Pelodiscus sinensis: one gene and its partners. The protein of the gene in region 3 purifies or fractionates together with the protein of the main gene of each other region. This does not show direct contact. Links are inferred from orthologs where the notes say so. Each region holds a gene or a part of one and is shown on either strand. Other genes may lie near its edges. The genes, in order: RAP1GDS1, DAAM1 and RHOC.

The links.
Region 1: the proteins of RHOC (region 3) and RAP1GDS1 purify together in Homo sapiens (co-immunoprecipitation; 3 studies listed by BioGRID and IntAct, counting the BioPlex papers as one, with this or other methods). This does not show direct contact. The link is inferred for Pelodiscus sinensis from reciprocal best matches to the Homo sapiens genes RHOC and RAP1GDS1.
Region 2: the proteins of RHOC (region 3) and DAAM1 purify together in Homo sapiens (affinity purification with mass spectrometry; 3 studies listed by BioGRID and IntAct, counting the BioPlex papers as one, with this or other methods). This does not show direct contact. The link is inferred for Pelodiscus sinensis from reciprocal best matches to the Homo sapiens genes RHOC and DAAM1.

The regions. Positions count from the first base shown.
Region 1 is NC_134715.1:22,176,585-22,186,884, forward strand, and holds the start of RAP1GDS1 (rap1 GTPase-GDP dissociation stimulator 1), read left to right. Parts: upstream 1-6,132; 5' UTR 6,133-6,545; coding exon 6,546-6,549; intron 6,550-10,300. UniProt on the Homo sapiens protein: Acts as a GEF (guanine nucleotide exchange factor) for the Rho family of small GTP-binding proteins (G proteins) that stimulates the dissociation of GDP to enable subsequent binding of GTP.
Region 2 is NC_134714.1:12,056,396-12,066,170, forward strand, and holds the start of DAAM1 (disheveled-associated activator of morphogenesis 1), read left to right. Parts: upstream 1-5,344; 5' UTR 5,345-5,486; intron 5,487-9,775. UniProt on the Homo sapiens protein: Binds to disheveled (Dvl) and Rho, and mediates Wnt-induced Dvl-Rho complex formation. May play a role as a scaffolding protein to recruit Rho-GDP and Rho-GEF, thereby enhancing Rho-GTP formation. Can direct nucleation and elongation of new actin filaments.
Region 3 is NC_134737.1:2,006,014-2,016,056, reverse strand, and holds the start of RHOC (rho-related GTP-binding protein RhoC), read right to left. Parts: upstream 3,941-10,043; 5' UTR 3,865-3,940; intron 1-3,864. UniProt on the Homo sapiens protein: Regulates a signal transduction pathway linking plasma membrane receptors to the assembly of focal adhesions and actin stress fibers.

The DNA of each region.
Region 1 (10,300 bases), on a different chromosome or scaffold from region 3:
ATCTGAACAGGGTTGAGTAAGCTGCTCTCAATGTTAAGAGAAATAACCCTGAAAACCAATGTGTTCTTGCCACTAGTGGAACAGCATCCAATGTCTGTTCTTTTCCATCTAACATACTTCTCAGCTCTTCTGAATTGTGTCACGCTGCATGAGAGAACACATGCTACAGGTTTTCAAAGGAAAGCTAAGCCAGTGGTGAGGAGATGTGCTGAGCCTTTGAAGCTGATACACTATATAAAAAAAAAAATCATAAAGTGATATGCAGTAGAAGGTCACAGTGACCTAGTTTTTTTCAGTTCTGATACAGGTCTTAAAACCATCCTTACTGGTTGAGAACACAGGTATATTGCTGGCTACATAACTTTGTTCTATAATTCTGAAATTCAAAGTGCAATTTTCATGGTATTTTCTCTGGGAGAGACAAGTTTTCATTGCTGAGCACCAGGCAGTCGTTCTTACTATCTCTTTCAAAGGATTTCTCGAATTATTCCTCCACCTCACTAAGGAATTAAATGACTGATTGGGGTACATTTAATGGGCTATAACATTGTTCTTTCTAATGTAAGCAGGGTCAGGGTAAGCTCTACTTTGACATCTGGTGGTGAACTGTGGCGAGTGGTGCAAAGGGACTTCAGGGGCTGATCTCATTTGCATAGATACACCCAATTTGCATAGATACACCCATCCCATCTAGAATGTGCTCACAGCAGCCCAAATGGTCACTTTGGCCACTGTGGGTTCCCCAGTCTCTCTGTTATTGAGGCAGGGGGGATAAAAGTGTTTTACCCTGATTATGTGAATCAAGGACAATGGAATGATGGAACTGTTTATGACAGAGGGATTCACCATAAACTAAGTAGCACTCGCTAGACAAGGGGCATGGGTTCCAAACCCAGTCAGATATTGGGGGGGGGGGGGGGGGTTGGGCGGTCTTTGTACCTGGTGGTAAGGGCCTAAACAACACCAATCACACTTCCTTCTCTTTCCACTGTGGAATATCAGAACTAATTTGGATTCCATTAGGAGTCTAGTTGTGAGCTGCAAAGTTGACTTCACTGTAGAGCACTAGCACTGAGGTTTCTCTATTATGAGCTGAACTTGCTGGAGAGTTGAAATCACTGTTGCTGAGGGGAGCCTGGTGTTATGTTGCGGAAGATCTGAAATCACTGTTGCTGTGGGGAGCCTGGTGCTATGCTGCTGAGCTACTAGCAGAGCAGTTTGCAGGGACAACCAACAAGCACAGGTGGACAGCAGAGCGGTTTGCGGGCACGACCAGCAGGTGCAGGCGGACAGCAGAGCAGCTGGTGGGGACGACCTGTGGCCGGTAGGAGCGGCAGCAGCCAGCCAGTGGAGCAGCTGCAAGAGCAACCAGCTGGCGGCCAGGGGCGTGGACCGAGACGGCTGGCAGAGCCAGACAGTTCGTGGGACAGCTGAGGCGGCTCACTGGACGACAGGTGGAGTGTGGTGGAGTGACTCGCGTTGATGGTGGCGGCAGAACCTTACGGAGAGGCAGAGCCATCGGCGGACCACGTAAGGTGTGTCAATCCCCACCCCTCCAGGTTGGGATGGTAAAACTCAGCCAGGTGAACTTTTGAACCCTGGGGCAGCACTGACCCGGGGCAGAGACTTTTGGGGTGTTGGACTTTGGGTGATTTTTTTGGGTTGCTGGACTTAAGAGACTCTTTGGGTGTTGGACTTTTGGGACTTTGGGTGATTTGGGGCTGGGAGAAGGGTCTCTGCTCATGTTTGGTCTATGAATCTGAGTTGTGGTGTTTTCCCAAGTTAATGCTGATGTTGGTTACCTCATGTTATTAAAGGTTTGCTGCTATACTGAGGCTCTGTGCTTGCGAGAGGGGAAGAACTGCCTCTTTGAGGCGCCCAGAGATGTATGTAAGATTTCCCAGGTCACTAGGTGGGGACTTGAGCTGGTGTTGTATTACCTTGTTGGGATGAGACCCCTAGATACTGAACCCAGCCCTCGCTGCTATTAATTCGGCCTGGCAAAAGGGTTACACTAATATCTATCATTAGCCCCAATAAAAACATAATACATTGCTTCTCTTTCCCAGTTCTCCCAAATACTGTACTTGTTTTTAATTATCTTTAATGACATGACCATTTCATTAATTTTAATGAAATTCACACAGGCTTTCCCAGTCATCTTAATACATCATATTTCATAGTGCTAACCTGTTATAGGATACAATGCACAATTGTCTTTCATACAAACTGCATCCCACAAAGCTTCTTAAATAACGAGAGCCAGAGGCTCCCTAAAGTTAGGATATAGTTACAAAGTCCAAGTAAAAAAATATTACTGAAAGATACGGAAATGAATAATCAAAGACAAGGAAGGAAAGATATATTCTAGAAGAAATCTGAAAATTGGAGAAGATTGATGGAGCAGAAGAATACAGAAACCTTTTGCTTCTAGGATAATTTATGAATATCTGTGTTATATCAGCTGTCAAATTATGCAAATTGCAGATAAACAAATATCAAGTTGCTATTTAAATAATGTGCAGATTCAAAGCCCTAGGAAAAAAAATTACAAAACCCATGAATTGCATGTGCAATTTTTTAAATGATTTTTTCCTACATTTTACTAAAAAGATGATGGTATAGATTCTCCTTATCCCCTGGTCATGTATAAATACACAACATCAACATAATTGGATGTACACATAGACCTGTATCTATTCCCAGTAAAGTCAATAGCAAAAGTGCATTTACTTCAATGGAAGCAGGTTCTAGTGAATCATAGAATCCCAGGGCTGGAAGAAACCTCAGGAGGTCATTGAGTCCAGTTCCCTGCCCAAAGCAGAACCAATTCCAACTAAATTATCCCAGCCAGGACTTCGTCAAGCTGGGACTTAAAAACCACTAGGATGGAGATTCAACCACCTCATCCAGGTCACTAATAAAGATGTTGAATAAAACAATTCCTAGAACCGATCGTTGAGGCACTCCGCTAGAAACCGACTGCCACCCTGACATTGAGCCGTTGATCACTACCCATTGGGCCCGACAGTCTATCCAACTTTTTATCCATCTTACTATCTGTTTATCCAATCCATACTGCCTTAACTTGCTGGCAAGAATATTGTGGGAGACCGTATCAAAAGCTTTGCTAAAGTATCATAAGGTTACAATGATTTAAATCAACAAACTGTATTGGTCTGTATCCCACAATCCTCTGTAACCAATAAAGTAATTTGTTAATAAAAAGGAACAAACAGGAGGGTGGAACAGATGCTAGATAGAAGCACTACTGGTATTGTGCAGGGGTAATTTGCAGTTGCTGTAATGTGAGGTTACTGCTGGTCCTATTTTTTTCTTGACTTATTCATATGAGTTGTCCCATTGCTTCCAATTAAACTACACATACAACTAAGACAAGTAGAACTGGCCCTGCAAAGCACCTATTATTCATATTCTGTGTTACTATTCTTAGGTAGTTATTCTGGCAAGGTGCCTGTTAATGTGGAAGACTGGAAAAAATAAAGTACTCAGTGAAGCTCACCTACAAAAATAATGGTTCCAGAAGAAAAGTTGCAGACATAGTATTAAGTCCTTATGAGTAAATATTTTCCTGTCATTCCATATCCAGTTTTACAGAGACCAAATATTCTGGGGAAAACACCACCACCAATTCAATAATACTTCATGCTTCGAGTATTTCATGAGAAAATGCTATGTTTCATACATATCTTTTTGTTTAGAAAAATTTACATTTCAGTTTTAATATTTATGGTTTAGACTACACAAAGCATTTGGTTTTATCTATTTGAGGAAAATTTGTCATATATTTTGCCTTTCTTCCATTTTAGAAAGGGACATTGATTCTTTTGACCACAAAGTTCACCTTAAAATCTGATCTGATACTTTATTCCCCTCCCTCCATTTCTCTTTTTGTAAAGGGCATCTTTATTTGTAAATTGTTTCTATTAAAGAAAATGAGAGAAAATCAAGTTGTTGCTTACTGTTCAAAATCACTCCATCTACCTTTTCATAAGTGTGACATTTTGTTCAAATCCAATATGACACACAGTATGGCTTTTGGGATACACCTTTACCACTGCTTTCTGCTCTCACAGCTAACAGGCAAAAGTAAAAGTATTTAAAGATTACTTTAAATCGTTCCATCTACTGATCACATTCTGGATACAAGTATTTTTAGTGTTTACTTCTTCTTTATGACAAAAAATCACATCAGAAAACCTCAGCCATAGCAAAACAAGTTCACATTTGTGCAAGATTTAGGACTGCTGTGCAACAGTGAACATTCTTAATTTTCCAATAGCTTTTTGTTGAGTCTGACATTTTAAAGTCAAAAAACAAAACACAAAATAATTTACTGTTTGTTCTCCTTTATGAGGTATGATAGCCGAATAAGTACTTTTGGGAGGCAGAAGTTGGCTTTTTTGTTTCTTTAACTCATGTCTTCCTTACATCTTTTTCCTAGAAGACTCTGGGAAAATGAGAGAGCTGGAAATGAGAGAGCTGTTTCACGCAGTGATTCCAAGTCCTCAAAAAACAGTTCTGTCCTCCAGTTTAAAAAATAAGTAAGTCACATCATGATACTGTAGTTTAAATTTTCCTTTTGATCACAATGGTGCAATGAATCCCACTGACATCAGGATTGTATCATTTTAATTGAGAAGAAAATTTTGCTGTTTTTTAGCAGAAAAGAAGCTACTACAGAGTTCAAATTACTATAAACATTAAAAACAAAAACAAATAAAAGCCCACTATCAAGAGGTCAGTTTATTATATATATTAAAAACTAACAAACATAACCCCACTATGAAAAGGTCAATTTATTCTAAATATTACAAACAATAACAAAAAAAACCAGGTGCTTTCTTTTTTGTGATATCTGTACAAATAAGATTGTAAATTCTGTGGGTGGAGACTTTAATAAAATCTTGTATCTGTGAAGTATTATGCACATCTTGGACATTTTCTAGTAAGGTTTTATACTGTTACCCATCACTGAAATATGTGAATGTCTTCCATTTAAAATCAATAGCAATACTGAAAACCTGATTAGAATGTATGATGTCTCTGAGTCATCTCCTTTTTTGGGGGATCTGCTTGGGGGTATGGTTTTTGTTTAGATTTTTTTAAAGAAACAATTAAATTCCTCTTTTGAATGTTTTGATTAGCAGATGTTTAGGAATCAAAGAGATGGAAGTGCTGTGAGTGTCATTCTTGTGGCTGAGAGTCTATTTTTAAAGAGGAAATAATTTATTCTTCTATCATTACTTTGAAAATGAAAAATGGGATCAGACAGCATGTGTTGAACATGCTTTTCCTTGCCAGCATAGACCTAGATATGTTAAAATCACTTTAGGTCCATTTACTAGGTTGGTTTCCAACTGTGGCCTTGTCTTCAGTGGAAAACTAGCCATTATCCTGAAGCCATTTTTTACAAAAGAGTTTCACAAAATCCTGCAAAACCCCAACAAAGAGGTTGTGTTAGCCAGTGCTAGTTCATGTCGAGATGGGTGATGGAGAACTTTTTTTTTTAAATGATACTCTGGAGTATTATTTAACCAGACGCTGTTTACAAGGGTGGAATATGAATCCAATGTATAGGTCTTTACAAAACAGATGCAATTACCTGGCTAGATGGGCATGTCTCTGCATAGCTACCTCTTTCAATGCAAGCTCTAAACATGACAGAGGATAGCATATCCAAATGTAAAATGTAAATCTCCTTCCCTCATTTTCTCTGGCTGCCTTAACATGTCTGTTAGCATGTTCTGCAAATGATAAAACAACGACGAAAGAAGAACCCTCGTTTATACGAAATGACAATTGCTCTAATTCTGCTCCGGGAGGCTATGGGGGGAGGAAGGCTGCACAGGATCTGGGCTGCGCGGGCTGTAAAGCCCTTGGCATCGTATCGATCTGGACAGCTGAGTTTGTCTGCAAAGCCTCCGGCGCCCTATGGCTTTCTAGCCAGGGCGTCTGGATCCCCAAGGGCAGCCCGCGGGTGGGCAGGGCACGGAGAGGCCCGCTGTTCCGCACGCCCTGCAGGCAGCCCGCGGGGGAGAGGCCACGCGCGGAGGGGAGGCACCTCACTCCAAGCGGCTACTTTTCCGCCACCTCGCTAGCGCTGCTACTGTGCGTCTCTGCGGCTGCCTCCGCAGCTCCTCCTCCCGGGGCTCTGGGTGTCGCTGGGCCGGGTGTCTCCAGAGGAGGGCCTTGCCCGGATGTACTACACTGACTCATAATCCAATCGACACAGGCAGCGAGACACACACACTCGCTGCGCTGAGCTGCGCCCGCTTCACTCTCCGCCTCCCGTCCCCGACAGCAGCGGCAGGGCTGGCCGGGCCCCGGAACGCGCGCAGCCCTCCCCCTGCCGCCGCCTGCCCAGGGGCTGCTCCTGCCGCCGGCCGGCCGGCTCGCTGCCGCAGCCGCCCCGCCCCAGGACCCTGCTGCTCCCGCCTGTCCCCCCCCGGCCGCTGGACTGAGGCGCAGGCGGCAGCTGCCCCTAGCAGGACCCAGAGAGCGGCTCCCCTCCCGGCAGGAGCATGGGTAAGTCGCCTTCCTTCAGCCCCCCCAAAGTTATGCCCTATGCGCCCTGTGCTGCAGCACCCGGGAGGCGGGAGGGCCTGGGCCCCGTGATGCCCAAGCAAGTCCGCGGCTCCTCTTCCCATCCCCCTTCCCCGCTCCCTGGCTTCCGTGCGGCTCCCTGTTTTGCATCCTCTCCCCCGTCGCACTGCTCCTGTTTCTCCCAAGGCCGGCCCCTTCCTCCCCCTCCCTCTGTGGCGGGCCGGTGGGAGGAGGAGGAGGTGGAGGAAGACGACTTCATGCAACTTCCTCAGCCGCTCTGGTGTTTCCCCTGGCGGCCGAGGAGGCTCAGGGTGCAGTTTGCTTTGGCAAGGGCTGTGCATGCTCGGCAGGGAATGCGGGGACTGGGATGGGGAGCCATCTCCACCCAGCCTGGGGGTGAACCAGGCGAGTGAAAACACACCAGTCCCTGCAGGAGGCAGCGACTTGCTCCATGCTGGACTAGCGGGGGGTTTACAGGGTGTGTTTTTCCTGGGCTGAGCTCCGTCTTTTGATCACTTCAGGGATAGAGAAAGGGGTGAGGTAGCAGGAAGCTGAAAATAGTCAGGGCACCTTATTTCTGAACTTAAATCAGCGGGTTTCCTTCTGTTCTGAAATGACAGTGCAAAGTTTCTGCAGGCTCGTGTGATACTGCCAGTTCAACCGTCCTGCTGGCCTTAGGTAGGCTGAATGTCAATTTTAATAAAGGCAATGCACTCAAATATAAGTTGCCTTACAGTTTATGGATACAGATTTCTTAGGTGGAAATCAAATTCTCTAAGTATCAAAAGGAGATTTGGAGCAAGTAGTCAAATAGTTCATTCAACAGACTGAGTTTCGCCTCTTCTGTTTGTGTCCTAGACAGCTGGATAATACATTACATAGACTACTTATGTTCCAGTCTTACCTCTGGTGTTCCTCTGCATGGAACCACAAAGATCTTCATTTTTACCCTGCCCCATGATTTTTAAATCACCACGTGTCTTGTGAAGAACTGCAGTCATGTTATCTGGCTGTTAATTCCAAAATCTTATTTGCTAATGGAGACCTCCAAAACAAACACACAATGAGCTAGAAAGGAGTGCTTTCTTATAGCCCAATGGTATGAGTGCTGAGGACACTATAATATACCTCATTGGGTTTCATCAGGAATTAAAGACAAAGCATCTCTCCCATAGAGGCAATGATAGTGCACTCTAATAGTTTAAATGCAGGCTAAGAAGTCAGCAATTCCTGAAGTCATAATCCTAGATCTGACACTTACTTCTGCTGCTGCCTTAGATGAGTAACTGGTTTCTTTTGAGCCCATATACATCTTTTTGCCATTTAGTAAATGAAGATTTCCATAGATAGTAACAAACTCTATATTTTAGTTTCCTTGTCTGTAAAACAAGGATATTGCTTACCGGCCTTTCAGGGCAGTTGTGAAGATTGTCACTTTTATAAAGTGTTTGGAGGAAGAAACCCTCAGAAGCAGGTACTGAACTTTTTCTTGGACATTGTGATAGGGTTCTAGAAGTCTCCCATTTAGTTGAGATGAAAGGACAACTCCTTGACAACTAACTAGGAGATATTTAAGGACACTGGTCATTCCTACTTTTGTGATCAATGTCATAATCAAATTGCTAGTACAGAATGAATGCTGCATTGTACTCTACAAAAGGTTCCATTCCAGTGGTGGGTGAGTTTGTAAATTGCTCATGAAATCTTTCTAGCCAAAATTATTACATTAGCAGAGATAAGATGACTAGGAGGGTTTCCATTCAGTGTCTGTCAAGGATGCTCCTTAATTGTCCAATGCTTGTCTGTATTTCCGCAGTGTTGATTTCCCGGTAAATCAATCTCCCCGGGTTCAATTTAGGGGCTCTAGTACATAAATCAATCACTGATGGCGCCCCCATCGACTCTGGTACTCTACGGAATCTTAAGGAGTAAGGGGCGTTGACGAGAGACAATCTCCCACAGTGGAGATGCCATGGAAACTGGACCTAAGGTATGTCGACTCCAGCTACCCTATCATATAGCTGGAGTTGTGTATCTTAGGTCAACTTTTTTCTTTAGTGTAGACCTGACCTGTCCAGAGAGATTACTGTTGACTAATACAAGAAATGCCCTGCTCTTATTTTTCCCCATCCCTGCACGCATCTGGACCGTATTCTTCTGCCATTTAGGCCAGTGGCCAACTTATAACCTCCTCTGTAGCAGCTCTTGTTGTTCTGAAGAGCCAGTGACCACAAACAGAATCTTCCCACAGCCAGCTAGAGGTTTTCTGTTAATTTTTTTTAATAGCAAACATGACAACTTTGAATGTTTAGAGTCTCTTGATTTTGTGAGCTTAATCATTGTAGTTGCTGTCCCTGCTCAGCTCCAGCATGCTCTCCTACTTTTATTTGTGCAATGCATAACTATTGGAAAGCCTCAGAAAGTAAGTATTGAGGATGAATTTTTGCAACACTAAAAATATCTTCTTCAAGCTGCTATTAACTTGGTAAATCATACTTAAAAATCAAGTATTTGCGGCAAAGAGAACTCAGAGTGTTTCATGATTTAACATACTGAATATTCTACACTTAATAAGCAGGTCAGAATCGGATTAGTAGATTTATCCACTAATGATGTAAAATGGAAGCCTTGGAAAACATTCATATTCCAATCAAAAAATTTGTGCCATTAAAGAGATTCAAATGAACACGTGAGGCTGTAGGAGCTCTGCTGTTAAAATGCCTTTCTTGTCACTGAGGCACCAACAAATTATTTCTCTGTAATCATTCTTCTGGCAATGATTTGCTTCTGTAGGATTGAACTTTTTCCTATCATACTTGCCCTTTGCAAATTGTGCTTTTGTCCTTTGAATTTATATTTAAAAGTATTAATTCAAGCATTACTTTAAAAATGGTTGATTTTTAGTCTTAAACATTCCTTTTGCATGTTGCTAGATTTTTTTTTAACTGTTCTTGGAAATACAGCATTTTGAGCACTTCGGATGACACTCACGGCTGTTGTTTTCTGTACCTTTTCTAATGAAGATTACTTGTGCATTTTTACAATAGTACCTCTTGGTTGGTATTTTGTATCCAGCTGCTTAAAGATTAATCTCTTTATTTTACTTCCTGCAGCATAACTTTATGTTTTATCAATCTTGCAATGATACTGTGTCCTAAAAGACTTCACTATAAAATTATATGACATTTTGGATGATGGATTCAATTCATTCTTATTATGTATATTAATTTCTACCTGCAGATTAAACTTTATGGATTTAAGAGGGAGTCTGCATCTAAGTTTCTTTATGTCTTTCTACAGCACTCAAAACAATAGCTTCTGTGTGCCTCTTAAAAACGCCCACCTAAAACATCAATTCTGTCTAGATGGCTGTCTTATTTAAAGTATAGCCCTTTAATCTGTTCTCCTTTTGTTACTGACTCAAATCCAATCCAAAGAGAAACCTGAGTGAATAGAGATTTACATTGCCCATTTGAGGGCCCAGTTCTTTCCTACAGAGTCTGTACTCACCATTCAGTCTATGTGTTTCCTTGCAAAGTGTACAAAATGCTAAATATGCTCAGGGAGTGTCAGGATTTGTGTCAGCCGGGTGTTGATGGTGTTGAGCTATCACGTACAAACTCTGGATTGTAGATGGCACACTTTGGCAAAGATATAGTCCCCGTTTTCAGAAGATTGCTTTTGTGCATGCTTCCTTCTGTTCACCTTTTAGAAGGAGCGGAAGTGTGTTTCA
Region 2 (9,775 bases), on a different chromosome or scaffold from region 3:
CGTGTTCCCTGGATGTGGCGGAGTTTTTCTGGGATACCGCTGGTATCCCGGAAAAACTCCGTAGTGTAGACATAGCCTGGGTTATAGCTGAAGGACCTGATGTTCAGCAACCACAGTCAACTCCAGTTCCCAGGCCTTGTTGCTAGTTCCCTGGATTCCTTTCTACCTTCTCTATCTTCTGCCTCCCAGGTTATCACTAAAATTTCCTCTGCTCCCTGTAGCTATTTCACCTCCTCTCAGGTTCTTGCCAGTCCATATTCTCAGGCAGCATCTCAATGGGAGCATCTCACATGCTTAACGTTAAGTGCCTGCTGAAGTGCACTTTGGTTTACCCCTCTTAGTGCCATGCCATGCCTTGCTGTGATTACTCACCCCCTCATATCCCTCTCTTTAGGTCTGTCTGAGCCTAACTGGGCATCATCAGCTGTTATGTTAGACCTTATCAACCTTGACTCTTTCCCAGGTGCAGCCTGTTAAGCATGAATTGGCCCTTTTTACTTAGCCAGGCCTTGGGTGGAGTAGACATCCCTCCACACCTAGTATCAGAAAGACAGAACAAAACATACCGTCTTGCAGTTGAAGGCCTGACCCAATTCCAATGGAAGCTAATGAAAATCCTTCAGTGAGTTTCAGAGGAGCGGGAGAAGGTGCCCGGCCTTCAGAAAACAAAAAAATGTGAGCCTTTGTTTAGATGTGTCCGCTGCTGACAAGTCTGCAACCTAGCCCAAGCAAGGATTAAATAAAGCCTAGTGGCCATTTTTCTGTTCAATCGACCAGTTGGGGGACAGGGCAAAGATCTACAGCCATAGAATCTGCTGCTATTTTCTCGTCCAAAAGCAGACCTAAACAGTCAAAAGAAATGTGACCGTTCTTCATTCAGTTACCAATTGCTGGATCTGCACAGTCCCTGACAGTGTCCTTTTATATACTAACCACAATTTCATGTCAGCAGCCACATGACAGCTATGCTCTAGGTCAATGAGCAATATTGATCTTATATGTGTCTAATTCAGAAAATATATTGGGTCTAGTGAGCCCGTATTGGGAGACTTTTCTCCAGCAGACAGTGACTCAATCTAGTCAGGCGTAAAATCAATAAATAAGGTCACACTTAAAGGCTGTGTCTACACTACACTGTTTTGTTGACAAAAGTCAGCTTCTGCAGACGAAACAGTGGAGGTGTACCCACCATGATGCTCTTCCCGCTAGTTTAACTCCCCTGCTACCCCAGCAAAATAAAACCACATTGTCGAGCAGCATAGAGCTTTTTGCAACATAGTTTAGAGAATGATGCAGTGTCACTGTAGATGGCGTGCTTGCTTGTGTAACCCTTCTGTGAGGTGGAGCCAGCAGTAGGTAGGGCCAGGTTAAATATCTCGAGGTTCCTCTCTATCCATCCTATGCAGAACTGGCTTGAGCCAGTAACCTGGGAAATTCTTGTATCACCCCTGTGCACCTCTGAGAGGCAATGCTTCACTGCCCTGCTGAACGCTCATCGCATCTGTCCACCACCACGCTGCTACCAATTGTCCACACCACCACCACCACCTTCCTAGCCTCTTACTGCATCTTTCTGCTGCCGCTCTGCTGGCTGCCATCCACCTCTTGGCTGTGACTTCGGACCATCAATCTCAAATGGTTTCAGCTCCCAGTGATTTCAGGCAGGATCAGTGGTGAAAGTAACTTAAAATTTCTTACAGGCACTGTCCTATTGCAACCCGGGACTTTTGCCAGAGCTGCGCACCAGGGCACGTCTACTTACTTTCACCTCTCAGCAGGATAGAAGAAACACAACGCCCAAGCAATTCACATAAATAAGAAGCTCTTAACAATGCCTGTTTAACTCGGTTCTTTGAACAGTGGGGGGAACAAGTCAAACAACTCCAGGCAAGGGAGGAGATGCAGCCTCCTGACCAGAATAACTTTCCCTCACCCCCTCTCTTTGGCAGAGCTCTAAAAGTCAAGCCCCTGCTTAGTTCTAATAACTGTGAGCCATTGCCTTTGGAACAATGCAGTACAGTCCTACGTTTCTGTATTCTGACAATATTACAAACATTGGTAACTGCTATCCCTGCATTTAATACAGACATAGCTCGTGTTGGGTCACAAATTAAGTTGTATTATAAGGAACAAAATACCACTCCATCCGTTGAATAGCTGGCAAATCTAAGCAAAGGAGGAGCAAACTGTATTTGCATAAACTCATCCAGGGACTCTCTCCCCTTCCAACTAAATGTGATGGAAACATTCCCCCAGTTCCTGCTTACATCTGTGTCACCCTAATTGGCCACCAGGAGGCATCCCACAATGCTCATCATGACTGCTTGAGTTAGCAGTTTGAACTCCGCTGCCCTGCAGCTACACAAGCATGCACCCCCTTTGCTGTTTAAAGGCCTGGGAAATTTTGCTGAGGCAAGTGTAACAGAAGACAAGGAAGGGCAACCACCACTCGGGTGTACAGTTATACTGCTTCTGTGAGGAGCTTCATGCCATCTTCCATGGTGCCCACGCTGCCAGGAGCCCAGTGGATACTTCAGGGGGATGGAGGCAATAACTAGCAGGCTCAACCCTGAGGACAAAGTAGTGGATGAGGAAGGAGAGTTGGAGGAAAATGTGGGACATATAAAAAGGGTGTCCGGTAGCATGGCAAGCCAGAGCGTATTTTTGGCTCTGGAAGGGGTCTAGCTAGTTCCCCACACCAATATCCATCAAACATCTTGAAAAAAATGTCCGTTGTGGATATGTCATTCCAAAGGATTACTTGTACCTTGCGCCAAAGCACCTGGTACTGACTAGTGCTGGAAACAGAAGACTAGATTAGATGGACCACAGCTCTATTATTGTACTTCTGGTGATATCATTATGGGTCTTGGGTGTGAATGCAAAGCAGATATTGGTCCTAAAGAAGAGAACAATGTTAAAATCTGGATAACTTACTCCAACCTGTGCTTCTCATATTACATTGTGTTCTATGCCGTGCGTGTCAACTCCCATAAGGACGTTCCTCCTTTTTCTTTTACTGTGTTGTCACTGGGTCTTCCTCATACCTCTGTGGATGTATATATTATGCATCTGGTTGAGTATGAAATACAATCCTAATGGATATATTCGCTTCTTGCCTTTTGTACCTTTTGTGTACTGAGAAGATGTAAGAAAACTTGCCTCCTGCACCCAAATTTGTGTTTTCTTAGACAAAAATATTACATATGATTAATTTTATATTGAATTTTAATTTGCTCCCAAATGTACAATTAATCCTCTGGTCGACTGTCCACAGCTTTATCTTGTGCAAAGAGGTTATTTTAGAGTCCCAGTTGTATACTAGCAGTCCAGGACTGCTGTGCTCACTTAACTGAAGTTGGATCTCTTAAAAGAATCATTTATAAAATACAGAATGACAACCAGAGAATAGTGTAGGCTGGGAGAATTTTCTTGGGTCACATTAAAAGTAGCTCAAGTACTGTATTAATCTTGGGTATACATGACAACTTGCATCACAATGCTGCTGACAGCACAGTTTAATAGAACATCCCATGTTATCATGTGAAAAGGAATATTGGACTCATTCTCAGATTTATTTTATTTTGGTGTTTTTTTGTTTGTTTTCCCTTGCTGGCTCAGACCTCATTAAAATAAAAAATCCTGGAAAGATCCATAAAGTTGCTGTCTAATCCTGCTTCAGATCCCTTCTTAAGACCTACTTTTGCCATGACATCTACAAAGTGCTACCCCACTGAACATGGTGAGATGGTGGACTGTGTTCTCCTGAGGTATGATTTTAGGCTGATTTTATTGTTAATGCATCCTTCCCCTCCTTTCCATTGTTCCATCCACTTTAATCATAACCTAAGCTCTCCCTGGTCCAAAAGCAGTGGCACGTCACATCTGCATAAAGTTACATATATGCATAAGTGTTTGCAGGATCAGGGCCCTAAATTGTGACCTCTGGTGCAGTGATTGGCTTTTGACTGCATATTAGAATGGTGCCAAGCAAGATGAGGCTGTGCCCTTCGACAGGGACTCTGGGTACTACTGCAATACAAATAAAAAATAATAAATCTGGTGTTGTACCATATCTTGTGTGCTGGTTAAAAATGGTCTTAGCACGTTTATGCCTTTGTGCATATGACTTATTATATTTTGAATATTTGTACATATAATGTGTATTCGCTACATGCATCAATAAGGAATACAATTTGTGAAATGAGGCTACACATTTTTAAATGCAGATTCTGGCTTTCCAGCATGACTGCAAAGAGCACATGGCTGTTTCCCATGCAAAAAGCACATGGCTGTTCTGAGAATGTTTTAATATTGCTTGTTAAAGGGGTCTGACGTTATTTGTGTGCAGGTGATTTTTTGGGGGAGTGGGTGATGCAGCTTTTAGGAGAAAAATTTTAGTCTCCTGGATTATGCATGTTAAAAGTGATACTAATTTCTGGGGTGTTTCTAGCAGTTAGAGGAGACAGAGAAGCCCAGCTGCAGGAGCACTGAACAAAGAAGTGTTGCCTGGTATTAGGGAGGCAGTTATTACAACAGCAGCTGACAACTCTGTCTCTGGCATGAGAAACTGCTGGGGCTGTGGATTTCACCCTGTTATTTCTAGTGAATGACTCCGTTATTGTGGCTGATTAGCCCAGTGAACTGTGTTCACCACGTTTTGATCTGTCCCTGGCGCAATTGTTTGCCAAGCCTTGGCCAGGGAACTTTTTTGTATAAATCCTCGCTCTACAGAGCAAGTGGTTCCAGGGTAGCCCTCTCCAGCCCCTGCCAAACAGAAGCAGCATGCTGTCAATGAGGGCAGTGTGTGTGGAAGAAAAGGAGCGGTAATTTGGAGGAAAATCAGGGATATTTGTTGTGCAACAAGAAGGCACAGCTGGCTAGGTGCATGTGAAGGGGGAAGACTGGGGACAGCAATAGGGTGATGTCCCCCTGTGCACAGCAAACTCTCCCCTAGATTTGTGCCAGATGGGGGGCGGAGGATGAGTTGCCAACCTTCCAGGCTTCCCTTGGCCTCTCCAGGAATTAAATCTTTAACTAGAGATTAGAGCATGTGACGAAACCTCCAGGAATTCGTCCAACCAAAACTGGCCACCCTATGGAGGGGCTGCGGCATGACAAAGGGGACATCCCCACTGCAGCAGCGGCCCCAGCCCCCCTGCCAGGCACACTTCTCCGCAGCGTGCCCACTGGGGAAGCATTCCAGCTGGGGCTGGGGATGGGGGGGGGGAGAGGGCGCTTGGGAAGTGTAGTCTCCGCTGGAGCGCGGCCCTGGCCAAGGCAAGGCGGCGCCGCACTACAACTCCCAGCGGGCGCTGGGGCGCCCCGCCCATCGCATGCGCACTCCGGCCCACCTGGTATCCTATCAGGCCAAGCGGGGATGATGTCACCTGCGGGCTGGCGAGCGCCCGGGAGGCAGGGACCGAGCAGCTGCTGGTGCAGGCAGGGCGCCGCCGCTGGCTGCTGAGGATGCCCGGGCTCCGCAGGTAAGAGCGGGCGGCGGCGGGGGAGCGCCGGGGCTGGCGGGGCTCGGCGAGCCCGGGGCGTGGGGCTTCGAGCCGAGCCGGGCTCCCGCTCCGAGCCCGGGGAAGCGCCGGACCGGCCGCTGCGGGTGGGACAGCGGCGGGTCCGCGCGGAAAATGGCTGATAGCAGGCGCCGGGCAAAGGAGGCTCCGGCGAGCTTCAGCCCTTGCAAGCCGGGCGTGCCGGGACCGGGCTGGGCGAGCGGCGGGGGCTGCTCCGGCCGGCTAACAAAGGGGGGCGGCGGCGAGAGACGCTCCCCGCGGCTCCGGCTTGGGCGCTGCCTCCTCCCCCGGAGCAGCGGCCCGCGCCTGGCCGGCCAAGGGGCAGTGGAGGGGCGGGCGGGCTGCACCTGGGCGGCAGGAGCTGGCGGGGGTCCGAGCTCGGGCGCTGGGTGGCAGCGGGGCGCCTGGGGCCCCAGGGTGTGACCTCCGCGCGGACGGAGGTCGGGGGGGGGCTGTGGCTGCCTCTCGCTAGGACCCCCCCCCCCCCCCGCAATGCACGGCCCAGCCCGCTGCACCCGGGGAGCCAGCTGGGCGGAGAAGAGGCCAGAGGTTTCCCCGGGGGGGTGACACTGACACTGCGGCTGGGTTTCCGCTCCCCGGGCCAGGGGGTCGCGCCCCTGGGTGCTCGTCGGGGCAGGAGATGAGCCGTGACCCGGGGGGCGCGGAGCCCTCTGCTCCGGGAGCGGAAAAGCACCTGGGCTCTGGGCTGAGGAGCTGTAGGAAAACCCAGCGAGCTGCTGCGGGAGACTGGTAGAGCAAAGGGGTGTGTGTGTGTGGGGGGGGGGGGGTCACTACGAGTCAGGTTGCTATGGTGACTCCTACCTCTGGAGCCTCTAGTATTTCCTCTGCTCTGTCTTTTGGGGAGGGTGTGGCTCGTGGGTGTGCCCAGTGCTCTGCACATTCACCCAGGGGAAGACTTCCCACTGTGGGGAGGAAGTGAGGGGTGGGCTGGAATGGACCTCAGAGCACTTGGCTGTGCCTCCCCATTGTACAGGCTCTGGCCTGTGTGTGAAGCAGCCTTGGACTTAAAGGTCCTGGCCTTGGCTCAACTGCATGGGCATCTATGATGGGGCCCTTATGGAGCCAGCAGTGTCCCGCCTGCCTGTAGCCGGCAGCCTTCTGCTAACTGGTGAAGAGAAGCCACTGAACCAGAGAGTAAAAATGAACAGTTGGGAGAGGAGAGAACAGGAGCTAGGAAAGTGGGGAGAAGGACAGTGTGTGCCATTGTTGCACTTGGACATGTCATGAGTTGAGATGAGGTGGGGTGGAGGGAGTACACAGCAGTCTCCATCAGTGCGCTGAGAACCAATTGCCTGGCTGATTCTCTTTCTTCTTACTATTCCCCCTTGGTTGCTCCTTTGTGGGCAGTGAGGATGCCATGGCGCTCTGTTTCTCTAATGGCATCTGAGCAGACATGTGGGGAGCATGCACAGTATCCCCCAGGGTGTTTGTCTATCCTCCTGCTATCGCATCCACTCACTGATGATGTGTGGCAAGAGGAGTGTGAGTGGTGGGTTTTTAAATATGATTTGTATAGTCACAAGTTCAGAAACTTGCTTTCCACATGTGCTTTTCCAAAGTCTCTGGTTGTCTGGCTGGTAGTTGGGGCCTTCTTGGAGATGCATATTGTTGCTAACAGAGTAATTGTTATGAGGACAAGTATAAGGAAGACTAGAGGACAAGTATAAGGAAGACTACATGTCACTCTACAAAATGAAGAAGAAAAGGTCCCTTTCTTGAGGATTTTTACAGTCTAACTCCACACTATGTTGGTGTGTGGTGGATTATAGTACATACTAAAATTATTGTTGTTTGTATTGCCATAACAACTAGAAGCCCCAGTCATAGAGCATAACCACATTATTGTAGTTGTTGTAGAAACAGAACAAAAAGAGGGTCCTTCCTCCCCCCCCCCCTTCGGGTTTACAAACAGTTTTAACACACCAGTGTTAGAGATATCAGAGCTGTTAGTCTGAATCTGCAAAAGCGGCGAGGAGTCCTGTGGCACCTTATAGACTAACTGAAGTGTTGGAGCATAAGCTGTTAGTCTATAAGGTGCCACAGGACTCCTCGCTGCTTTTGCAGTGTCAGAGAATGGTTCTGTGGTTTGAACATAAGACCGGTGAGCAGGGATCTGTCACAGATTTGATCTGTGACCCGGCGTAGTCACTCAAGCTTGCAGTTTTCAATGGTGTCCATTCAGTTTGGATGCTCCCATGTTTCAGTGACTAATTTGATAATGAGGGCCTGACCTTTGTTGGCTTTTTTATGTTTTGTCTCTGAAAGATGCTAAATGCGTGGATACCCCACACCTCTGAAAAATGCTTATAAGATCCAAATGAAGTAAAGGTTTCATACTCAGTGTCCAAAGATGAACATGTAAGAGTTGTAGCCTTTTCCCAAAAATACTGGTCTTCCAATACTGTATATTACAGCTTTTATAATAGGGAATGTTGTCAAATTTAAATAACAAGGTAAAAAGTGGAACTTCTGTTCCTCCCTTCCCCTCTAATATTATATTAACAATTTAATGTACCAGAGGAAATGTGTCTTCCCACTCCTGTGCTTTGTCAGTTTGAGCCTTCAGAATATCTCCTAGTGATGTTAAAATGCCAGAAGTTTTCTGGAGATGTTAAAGATTCATTGGTTCAAACAAATCTCAATCTCCTTGTTTGGCTAGATACTACACAGAGAAGAGAAAAAAGAGGGGTAGATGTTGGTGGGGATTACCCAGATGATGATAACTGGGCCTAACTGCCCATAAGAGGAGAAAAAAATATATAGTTGTTACATCTTCTAACTCAAATCTTGAACCAGTCATGATCCATCCAGATGCCTGAGCTATCCTGTTCTGCCAGTTTATCCCTGAGAGATTCATTTTGATACTGCATGCTATATCCCTAGATGCTGATTTTTCATACTGTACTGTTGAGCCAGAAATGTCTCCTTCCACTTTCTGCAAGTGAAACTTACAAATTACATTTCTTTATAACAATGAGCCTCTGCTAAAGGGATACGTGAATTGTCTTCCTGCAAGCATGGAATGTGTCAGTTCCATGAGGATTAAATTAGTCCCACAATGTCAATTTGTTACCAAAGTCTGATCAAATTTCCTGTCAATCAGAGGAAGGAACTATGTCTGCTTTTTTTTTTTTTTTTTTTTAAAGCCAAACATCCATCTCCCATATTTTTGTTTTGATTAAATCAATTTCAGAGGAGTAGGTATTGTGCCTACACTGAGTATGCTCTGTTTGCAATTGGCTGTCTTCTACTGGGACAAAATTGTACAAGCGATGTTAAGCTTTTCTATTCATTATTTAACTATGGCTTTGATCTTCTAAGGTGTGACTTCAGTGGCAGCTGAAAGCACTCAGGACTTAGCTCCTGGGTTTTTGCGGATGGACTCAAGCCCTTCCTCTTGTGTTACTGTAGGAGGTCCTTTGCAAACCAGGCATACATCCAGTTTTAGTATCTAACTTGGACGCTGTGCTGGCCCCAGTGAAGTAAACAGGATGGGTAGGGGTAAGGTAGTACAGCATTTATTCTTTGATACTTTAAAACTGATCTGAGGCTTGTTTTCTTCTTGCTTCCAGTGGGAATGAGGGACTGTAGCAGGAAGATGCCCTCTTTCAATTCACTGACTGCTAACGCTTCTGTGGCACTCTAGATCAGTGATTTTCAAACTACAGCCTGTGACCCAATACTGGGTTGTGGAATGTCAGGCACTGGGTCAGGGGGGTCAGGTGACCAGCGGGGGTGCTAAGGCAGCTATCTGGCTCCACAGACTGCGCTGCATCCCAGAAGTGACCAGCAGCAGGCCTGGCTCCTAGTTGGGGTGGGAGTCGGGGGGGGGGGGGGGGGGGAGGAAGATAATGTGAACATGGCTCTGTGCCTGCCCCAAATACTCCCATTGACTAGGACCTGCTGCTGCTGGCTGCTTGTGTGGTGCCAGGAGAGGCAGGAAGGCTGCCTTAGCACCCCTTCTAACTGGGAGCTGCTTAAGGTAAGCCCCTTCTGCATCACCCCTGACCCTCCTCCTCCAAAGTCCTCTCCTCCTTAGCCCCACTGTGGAGCCCACACTCTAGTCAAATTGTGTTGGGTCGAGGGTACCAATAATTTTCTTCAACTGGGTCAGGAGGAAAAAAAAAAGTTTGAAAACCCACTGCTCTAGACAGCCCCTCCCTTAGAAGATGGGAAGGTGGCAGAGGAAGAGACAGCAAGTCTGACTGGGTTATGTTTATCTCTTTGCT
Region 3 (10,043 bases):
CACCCATCATGAGAAAGAATGTTCACATAGCTACCTAAATATGACCCAACATCATATTGTACTCACATGCTGCACGTATGACCATTCTGAAAAAAACTACAGGAAAAAAAAGAAAGTTCTCAAACTGGCTCAAAAGAGAAACAGGCAACACCTTCCAGTGACACACATCAGAAACCAAAGACTATTTTTTGTCTTCCGTTTCTGGAGCCATCCCTGTTTTCAGATATCTGACCAAAGTGGCATGTTTTGGCAAAGCAATTGACCACAATTTCACATCTATACAGGCTGTAGGCAGCACAGTCTGGGTTCTACACAAAGCCAAGAGCTCAAGCCTACAACTCTTACTCATGCAAATAATCATTACTCACAATTAACACAGGAGACCCATGACTACAAGCATGAGCCTCACATATGAACAATCCAACTCCCACACAAACTTGCATTGTGCCCACAACCTTCCCCAGAAGCACTTGTATTCCTTTACCTAATCATCTCGAGGGGCATGCTGGGTCTCAGACAGATGCAGGTACCTTTTCTTTATAACTTATGAACGCCTCCATTCTGGCCCTCCAGGCCCCAAACACGCATGGCCACTTGCAGGGTGTTATTAGAATAAACCTATCTCTTAAAGGAGCTTCATCTCAAAACTGAAGTTTACATTTAAAGATCCTACAAATCCTCATACTAGAAATAAATATGTAATGAAACCAAGTGAATTGGATTTAACCCTTTCCTTTGCAAGGCTTGTAGCATGCTTCATGAAAAAGAGAAAGTGAAATGGTCTAGAAACCAACTATAAACAGAAGTGAAACTGATGCCTTTGCTTTCTGTCTCAGCTCAGTAACAAACAGTCAGGTGGCAACAGGTATCAATAAATCACATATGCATTCAGCATGTCCCTCACCTACTACTGAGCACTGATTAAAGTGCAGAGCTACAATCCTGAAGAGATATTTTGTGTCACAATACACAAATACAAAAGCTAACTTTTATCGTTGCTAAGCCAGACTCCTTTGAGTCAAGGATCTGACTCAAGAACTTTTAAGCAAAAGGTGCAGCAACCAAACTGTAAGGAAGGCTCCTGTCATCCTAATCCCAATTAGTTAACTGGTCAAATGGGAAATTTAACTGGTTAACCAAATAAACGGGGCTGGCAGGCCTCCTACCTCATGCACAGGGCTGGAGCAGCCCCCACTGGTTAACTGTAAGCGCATGGGCAAGATTTACTGATTAACCAGCTAGCTGCTCACATCCCTACTAGGATCTGAAGACGGCTTTCTTTCTTCCATTTTTTCTGACTCCATCTGGAGTCAGCATGACTTGTGTCCCCTGGTCCAAGACTTGCCCTCATGTCTTTTCCCCAAAGGCAACACCCACTGTGCATTTCACCTGTTGTATGGACGTGCTTATGAAGCAGCTTGCCAATTAGAAGGCTCTTCATTAAACAAATGGCAGAGCAAGAGCTCCTTGTAAAATAAATTAATTCTCAGCAGCATCCAGGAATCAGGTGCCTGCTGAGCAGGATCTCATGTGATGCAGGAACCCTGAAAGACCAGATTTTGGCTTTCTATGCAGTACCACCTTTCCTGCTCTGTGCATCCCCATGCGTGACACAGCAGTGCGTTGGATTCCTGCTGGCTCACCTGGCTGCCATTTTACACTTGGCACGCACACAACGGTTTGTTTATAACATTGTGTTGGGAGGGATGCTGGGCAGGACGCGAGGATTATTCCCTGCTCTGAGAAGTGCTGCAAGATCGTAACTTCCGTGGCTGTAAGTCACGTCTGAGTTCAGCTGACGGCAGCTGTACTTGTGGAAGTTTATGTTCCACGGCATTGCTTTTCAAGTGAGGCAAACAACTGCTCAACATCCAGAGCCAGCTGATGTCACTGCAGTGCATCTCAGTCTTCCAGGAGAGGAGTCTTACAGGAAACCTTCTTACAACCCACCACGCTTTAGAGTCTACAGACACCTTAACCAGTGATCCTTGTAAGCAGTGTGCTTGTGCGGTCACCCAGGAGGGATTCAAATGCCCCCCACTCATAAGCGGAGCACCCACAGCCAGGTCTCTGATTCTACTGGTGGTGCACATACACACATGCCCCAGTGCACATAGAAAAAGTTATTTCGCATATGGATGGAAAAAATCTGCACGTGGATGGGAAAAAATTAGGGGGAGGGGGGAGAACAACACAGACCTTAACTCCCCCTCCACATTAAGGTTTCTAAGGCAGCATAGGTTTCTTATTCTTCAATAAGAATGTGTAGTACGTGATATATCAAATCCCAATAATACATCACAGCCTCAGGAACAGTTTCTACCTGTTTAGTTTTGTACTGCTATCGCGTTGGGCCAATCAATATTTGTCTAATACATTCCTTACATTTCATGGCATTCCATGCCAAACAGAAGATTACAATGTGGTTTTGTTTACACAAACTTCTGATAACCTCTTGGAAGTGGGTCACATAACTCTGTGCTTTTTCCATTTTGATAGAACCTCTGCAAGCAAATAACTTCTACTAGATCTAGGACTCCACTTTAAAACCCCTAGCTCTCACATGTAGCTATAAGGAAAATTATGGGAGGCCAGCAGACACTTGGCACAGAGACAATAAAGCGTGACTGAAAGTGGAATATAAGTGGGAACACATAACTGAAGCCCTTAAATAGTTTATTGCCTGTAACACAATTTAAACCTTTTCACAATTTGCATAAAAGGTGACATTTTCTTTATCTGTGACCCAGTTTAGTTTCCATCAGCTTGAGGTCTCAGCACACAACATGTTTCCCAGTCAGACTGCACACTCTAAACTGATTCACAACTTCTTACTGTTTTACGCTCCCGTTGTCAGGAGGCCAAGGCTGGATTCAAGGGGCTTGGCTGCCAGACGGTTAGGGCTGGAGAAAGCAGCGCAGTCATGGTTTTGGAATGCTTCTGTACTCCAAAGCCATTACAAAGCTCCTAACACACATGTTTAAAGGCTACCTACAGGAAGCAAGGAGCACAGGCTTCGAGGAGATGGACATGCTGTTTGTTAGCACTAGGAAACAGCACCTAGGACATGAAAATGCACCCCAGGAGCGTGCTCCCACACAGAAAAGCCAAGTGTGTGTGTGGGGGGGGGGGAGGAGATGGGGAAGACCACCACCATTTCAGCCTGCTTAGTTCAAGCAAACTTCTGTCGCTTGGGGGCATGCCACAGTTGAGCGCGACCAGGGAGCCCAAGCAGTGGGCACTGGCTGATTAACAAGTGGATTGTACCCACCACAGCAAACGCCCGTTAGTCTCTAAGGTGCCGCAGGACTGTTGGTTGTGCTGGACCTACAGACAGACAGGGACGCGGAGATTCCTGCTCTGCACCCCGGCAGCTCCCCAGGCAGGGGAAGTAGCTGTGCTGAACAAGAGCTGGCCAGGGAAAGGCTCCCTGGGATGTTTGCTCAGCTCAGCTGCCTGGTCTCCCTCCCCACCCCACCAGCTGAGCACACACTCCAGGGGAGGACGGGCACACCTAGCACAGCCTCTCCTGCCCACCTGCCCCGCATCAGTGGCTGTGCTGAGACAGAGCTGGGCCCCCCTGCAGCACGGGGGGGGGGGCGGCTCCCGGCCCGGGAGAAGGGGGGTAAGAGCCCCTCCCCCAATAAGAGTAGGAGACAGAAGGGCTGCCCCCCCCCCCGCTTGTACAACCTGTGACCCCCAGAACAGCCCTGCCACCCCCACACCCCGAACTCCCAGAGCCCAGCCCGGCTCCCCCCCGCAACCCCTCCGGCCCCAGCGCCCCCCTCACCCCACAGCCCCCTCAGGCACCGGGTACCCGCACACAGAGCCCCCCCCGCTCCCCACAGCCCCGCCCCGCGGTACCTGGGGCGCTGGCTCCGGCTGCTCGGGCTCCGCGGCGAGCGGCACTTAGCCGGGCAGGGCGGGGCCGGCCGGGACCGCCCCCCCGCCGGGTACTGCGGGGCGGGGCCGCCCGGGGATACGGGCAGCGGGCGTCACAGAGGGGGGAGGGGCCCGCAGGGTGCTGGCGGGGGCAGAGGGGGGGCACAGGGTGGGGGTGACAGAGGAGGGGGGGCTCGCAGGGTGCTGGCGGGGGCACAGGGTGGGGTACAGGGTGGGGGTGACAGAGAAGGGGGGCTTGCAGGGTGCTGGCCGGGTACGGGGGGCACAGGGTGGGGTACAGGGTGGGGGTGACAGAGGAGGAGGAGCTCGCAGGGTGCTGGCGGGGGCACAGGGGGGGCACAGGGTGGGGGTGACAGAGGAGGGGGGCTCACAGGGTGCTGGCGGGGGCAGAGGGTGGGGTATGGGGTGGGGGTGACAGAGGAGGGGGGCTCGCAGGGTGCTGGCGGGGGCAGAGGGTGGGGTACGGGGTGGGGGTGACAGAGGAGGGGGGGCTCGCAGGGTGCTGGCGGAGGCACAGGGTGGGGTACAGGGTGGGAGTGACAGAGGAGGGGGGCTCACAGGGTGCTGGCGGGGGCACAGGGTGGGGTACGGGGTGGGGGTGACAGAGGAGGAGGAGCTCACAGGGTGCTGGCGGGGGGAGCTGGGAGACTGGGCACAAGCCGGGGAGGGGGAGGGGAAGGGGGAGGAAAGAGCAGTGGCTGCAGGAAGAACTCCCCAAGACACTCACACCCCGGGGCCCACTCTGGCCGCCTCCCCTGCATTTAGCTGGGAGGCTGGAGAAGAGCTACCTGTGGCTCAAAGCTCCACTCTCACCAACAGAAGTGGTCCAGTAAAACATATCACACCCATCTTGCCCATCTAATATTTTATCATTTATATCGCAGTGCACCCAGACACATCTGCCTTGTGCTAAAGCCCTAGTCAATGACAATGCTTGTCCTAAATGCCTTGCGTAGCCACAGTTGAAATAGCTTAATTTGTCTTTTGGCGCGGTCTACACAGCAGGAAGTCAAAGGAAGAGCACTCCTTCTTCGACTTCCCTTTCTCCTCGTGAAGTGAGGGTTACAGGAGTCAGAGTAAGAAGTCCTCCAGCTCGACATTATGTCAAAACAATGGCTTGCTGTGTAGACGCGCACTATGTTATTCCAAAATAACGCTGTTGTGTAGACATACTCTAACATGCCACAGGATTACTCGTTGCGTTTATAGTAGCCAGGCTGTATAGCATGGCCGGTAGCCAGCTGTACCTAGTAGTCCATCTCATATCTATCACGTGACAGCATGACACAGGCTATCTGATTCCATGTATCTAACACGGGGCGGGGAACCTTTTTTGGGTTGGGGGCCACTGAAAAACCAGTTGGGGGCTGCACACAAGCAAAAACCAACCAACCCCTCACGGACATGGCCCCTGACTGAGAAAGAGAAAGAGGCTTCCCACATTCCCCTCGCATAGCAGAGTCTAGACTAATAGATTTGGTGTGCTCCAGCCTTATGGGGGGACGGCCAGAGGGCTGGAGCACCAGCATGCAATAATCCCAGAATATGTGCCCTCCAGGGAGCGCTGAGCCTTGGGGGCCGGATCCAGACAAGCCAGGGGCCACATAGGGCCCCTGAGTCTTAGGTTCCCCAGCCTGATCTAAGAGCTCATCCCTTCTGCATGGCTAGTGGCGAGACTATCTTGTGTCTCAGAGCTAGTCTGCTGTGGCCAATTGCCAGTGGACTTCAGATTTAAGGCTTCAGTGAAATAGGAGCACAAAAAAGCGTGTCACATTTATCACTCACACACAGTCAGCCATGTGAAGCTCTCTCTCTCTCTCTCTCTCTCTCTCTCTCTCTCACACACACACACACACACACACACACACACACACATTCCTGCAGCTGTGTGACACGCAAGGAGTGTCACTTATGAACATAAATAAGAACCCCAAAGCAGGAATCAGGAAACAGGATCTGGCTCTGCCGGCGATGGCACTTCCTGTCTTTACAGCCATCCACCGCAGCAAAAAGAGGAGAAAGCTCTTTGTTTATTTCAGAGGGTAGACGTTTTGTGCGGCATCACACAGTAAGGAACTGGAAGAAGAGGGGGCAGAAGGTGATGTAAGCCCCCGCAAAGCGGATACAGCACAGACTGAACCTGGCTGGTCCTCCTGACCCGTCACTTCATCTGTCAGCAGGCCGGTGTCTCAGGGGAGAGGAAGAATTCTTATTGATTCAAAGAAAGGATTAGACTTCCACTGTAGGGAATAAGAAGAGTGTTCTCTAATACAGTCAGTAGAGCTATCAATGCTCAGGGCAGAAGCTGGTCTCCAGCTGGTGACGTGCAGCTGCAATGGAACAGCGTTCCAGGAGTGATCAGCTGTTTTGGTCCTTGCTGGGGTCAGGATAGGAGACTGGCTGGATCATTGGTCTCTTAAGAACGGCCACACTGGGACAGACTAAAGGTCCATGTAGCCCAGAATTCTGTCTTCAGACAGTGCCTAGCACCAGGTGCCCCAGAGGGAGTGAACACAACAGGTAAGCATCAAGTAATCCCTCTCCTGTCACCCATTTCCAACTTCTGGCAAACAGAGGCCAGAGACACTATTCCTACCCATCCTGGCTAATAGCCTCCATGAATTTATCTAGCTCTTTCTTGAAACTTGTTAAAGCCCTGGCCTTCATAACAACATCCTCTGGCAAGGAGTTCCACAGGTTGACAGTGCAAGATGTGAAGAGCTCAATAGGAAAAGGGACAACCTAATGGTGGTACACTGACTGAAGCACTGAACTGGGAATCAAGTACTGGGCATTATTCTAACCTCAGCCTTCTGCTCTCACCACTCTGTGCCTCAATTTCTCCATCTGTAAAATTATGGCAATGATGCTTACACACCTTTGTCACCTACCGTGCGCATGCTAGGTGAAAAACCTCCTACCAACGCAAAGCTCTAGATTGATTCTATTGTGGTTGTGATGATAGCAGATTCCAGGGCTGGTGTGGACTAGAGTCTGCTGTTGCACTGGGCGTTACTGAGAGCAAAGCCGGCGGAACCATTTCCAGCGGTGACAAGGAGCCGAGGAAAACACCACGGGGATGTTTCTGTTATCTCTGCCTCCTCACCACTTACGGACCCACTCCCAGCATTCTCAGCATGTTTCTGCCGGACGGGTCCAGGAATAGCTGGAGGTGTGTCACCCAACCCCTTCCACCAGACACGGTTAGCAGCACTTTCCTCCTGAAACACAGGGAACTTGCACCATCCCACCATGCATCCCGGCCTGTCTCACCTCTCCTCCTTGACCACCATGATCCACAGCAAGGCTTAGAGGACACGCCGAAGGGGGCCCTGCAAATACCGAGCAAAAGTTGGCCCCTCCCCTGAAGAGCCGACAGCCTAAACAGGCTGGGCAGGCATGGGGCAGAGGAGAAACCACTGATGCATGGCCACAAAGCAGGTCAGTGGCAGAGCTGGGAACAGGCACCTGACCCCTTGGTCTGTCGCCCTGTCTGCCAGACGGCACCAGGAGTGCCACGGTTTGCTAAAATCTGTATCGCAGGCCAACCATCCCTCCACCTCACCGCCTGCCCGATGAGCTTCTTTGCCCCCTGCGAGCTGCCCACCTCTTACTTCAACCCCAGCTCTGTTGTGCCTACTGACACTTACCATCTTGCCCCACTGTCACCCGCCTGTCGCTCCCCCAACCTCCATTCCTTCTGGACTCACCCCGGGCCTGGATCGATCTGCCCAGTGATAAACAGGTGCCAGAGCCCCCGTCAGGAGCAGGGCCCCCTCGTGCAGGTGTGACACAGGTACAGAGTAGCAGGCTGCGGCGGACCTCACAATCCAACGCCAGAGCCAATGGCCAACAAGGAGGGAACAAGCAATGCAGGGAGGGAAGTGGCCGTGGGTAACACACGCGCACAAGCCTGTTGTTAGATCTTCTGCTTCGTCCCGCACCCAGCAGCCTGGCTCAGCGGTGTTTTCCCGTCAAACAGGGATTTGCCAGGGAAGGAAGGGGAAGGCGAAGCATAACCAGTATCCCGCTTGGAAATCCCCCTGCTAGCTGTGAATCAGCAAGGAGGGAAAGCCAGCTCTGGGACCTGGCTCAGACCGACCAGGATCTATTTCAGAGGGGGGGTTGGCCTCAGAGGGACATTTTTTCTTAATTTACCGAGTTTCAGATTTGGAACTGGCTCCAAAGGAAACATTTCCCTGCACCGAAAGGGAACAGAAAAGGACAATTTAAATACAGCTCCTCTCAGACTTCCTTTCTTTTGTACAGCCCTCAGCCTGGGCTCCAGGAAAGCAAATGCCCCTTCTTCTCGTCAGCAGCTAGCAGCTAACGCACCTTCCCCTGCAAGCAAGGAGAGTACGCGTGTCAGAGAGTGTGCTTGTCAGAGAGCACTTGTGTGTCAGAGCGTGTCAGAGTGTGTGCGTGTCAGAGAGCACTTGTGTGTCAGAGCATGTGTCAAGTGTGTGTGTCAGAGAGCATGTGCATGTTAGTGTCAGTGTGTGTGTGCATCTGAACTTGTGCATGTCAGAGAGCGCGTGCATCCGAGTGCACGTTAGAATGTGTGCATGTCAGAGAGCGCGTCAGAGAGCACGTGTGTCAGAGTGTGTGCGTGTCAGAGAGTGTGTGCACACGCCTGCTAACACTGGAGACAGGAGAGGGAGAAAGTGCAAGCAGGAGTCACAGAAAGGAACTGAAGAGAGAGGACTCCAGCAGCCCCCCAGATCTATACCGGCCCCTGCAATGACTCACACTTCCCAGCATGAGGCTTCTACGCCTTCCTGCCCCTCCCGAGGAGCACCAACACTGCTGGGAAGAGGGAGTCCTGCTCCCAGGACTGTGGTCCGAGATCACCTTGGGCCCTCTGCAAACTGGCACAGAGAAGCCCTTGTGTGGCCAGTGAAAAGGACACCCTGCCTAAACCATTTGCACCCAAAGGCTTTTGGGAATTGGGTGCCCAAACACCAGGCACCATCCAGGTGGTATGTCCACACACCACCCCTTCAGGCTTCCTTCACCGTGCTGGGAGGGGCAATCTTAAACCCCAATTCTCCCCACCCCTGGCAGCTCCTGCTGACCCTTGGTCTGCACCTCCAGCGTCTCCTCTTCAAGCCAAAAGCCGGGCTTCCCAGCTCGGCCACCTGCAGATCAGCCCCAGCAGGCAGTACTTCCCGGTGCCCCTTGCTCCTTTTTGGCACCCAAACCCAGATAGCGGCCACATTTTGACACAACAAAAGTTGCAACCAACGCCCAGTTTTGGTGGCAAAAAACTTCCCCCTCCACATGAGACTTTTCTCTCTCTCCCTTTATTGGACAGTCACATATGCAGTGGGCACTGTGCAGCAGGCTTTCGGTTGAGTTGATTGACCTTCGGCATGTCTCCCGCAATGCCCCATTAGCCACTCTGTGGAGTGGTCCTCATGGTGACTTCTCAGGGAAACAGGGCGCTCTCCAGCTTGGAGCAATGCAGAGCTTTTGTGTGTGTGTGTGTGTGTAATGCAATCACAGCTGTGAGTGGTCTGTAGGACACATAGGACCACATTTCTCAAGCGCAGTGTGAGAAGGGGTGTGAGTGAAACCCCCTGCAAAGCGGAGCCAAGAGAGAGGGACTCCGGCAGACATACCAGAGAACAATTAGTTTTATTCAGGACTAGCTGGAGTCACCCGGCGTTGCTCGGGTGGGTGGTGGGATCCTGGTGGGAGTGCCCCGTGTGAGGGGCGGGCAGGTGGGGGCGAGCGCTGGACCTAGGGTGGGCGGGGCTGCAGGTGCCGCGGGGGCCAACAACCTCACCACCTGTCCCATAACTTTTGCCCCACTACCTGCCGCACCATGGAGCCGCACTGGGAGCTCCCCTCTCCTGCGGGCTGTGCCGAGCAGGAGCCGGACTCCCCGCCACGCAACCAGGATGCTGCACCGGACCCCAGGCCGCTCCCAGCACCACCGCTGCCTCCCTGCTGGCCTCGCCCCCCTGCGCCCGCAACCGCCCCCTGGCAGGCCTGCGAGCTCCATCACTTGCATCCCTTGCCATCACTTGGCAACCCTCCGCCACCGCCGGAGGGGAGGGGCCCGGGCCGAGTGACATCACGGGCAGGAGAGAGGAGGGGGTTCCCCCACTCCGGACGTGCCTGTGCAGTGGAACGGC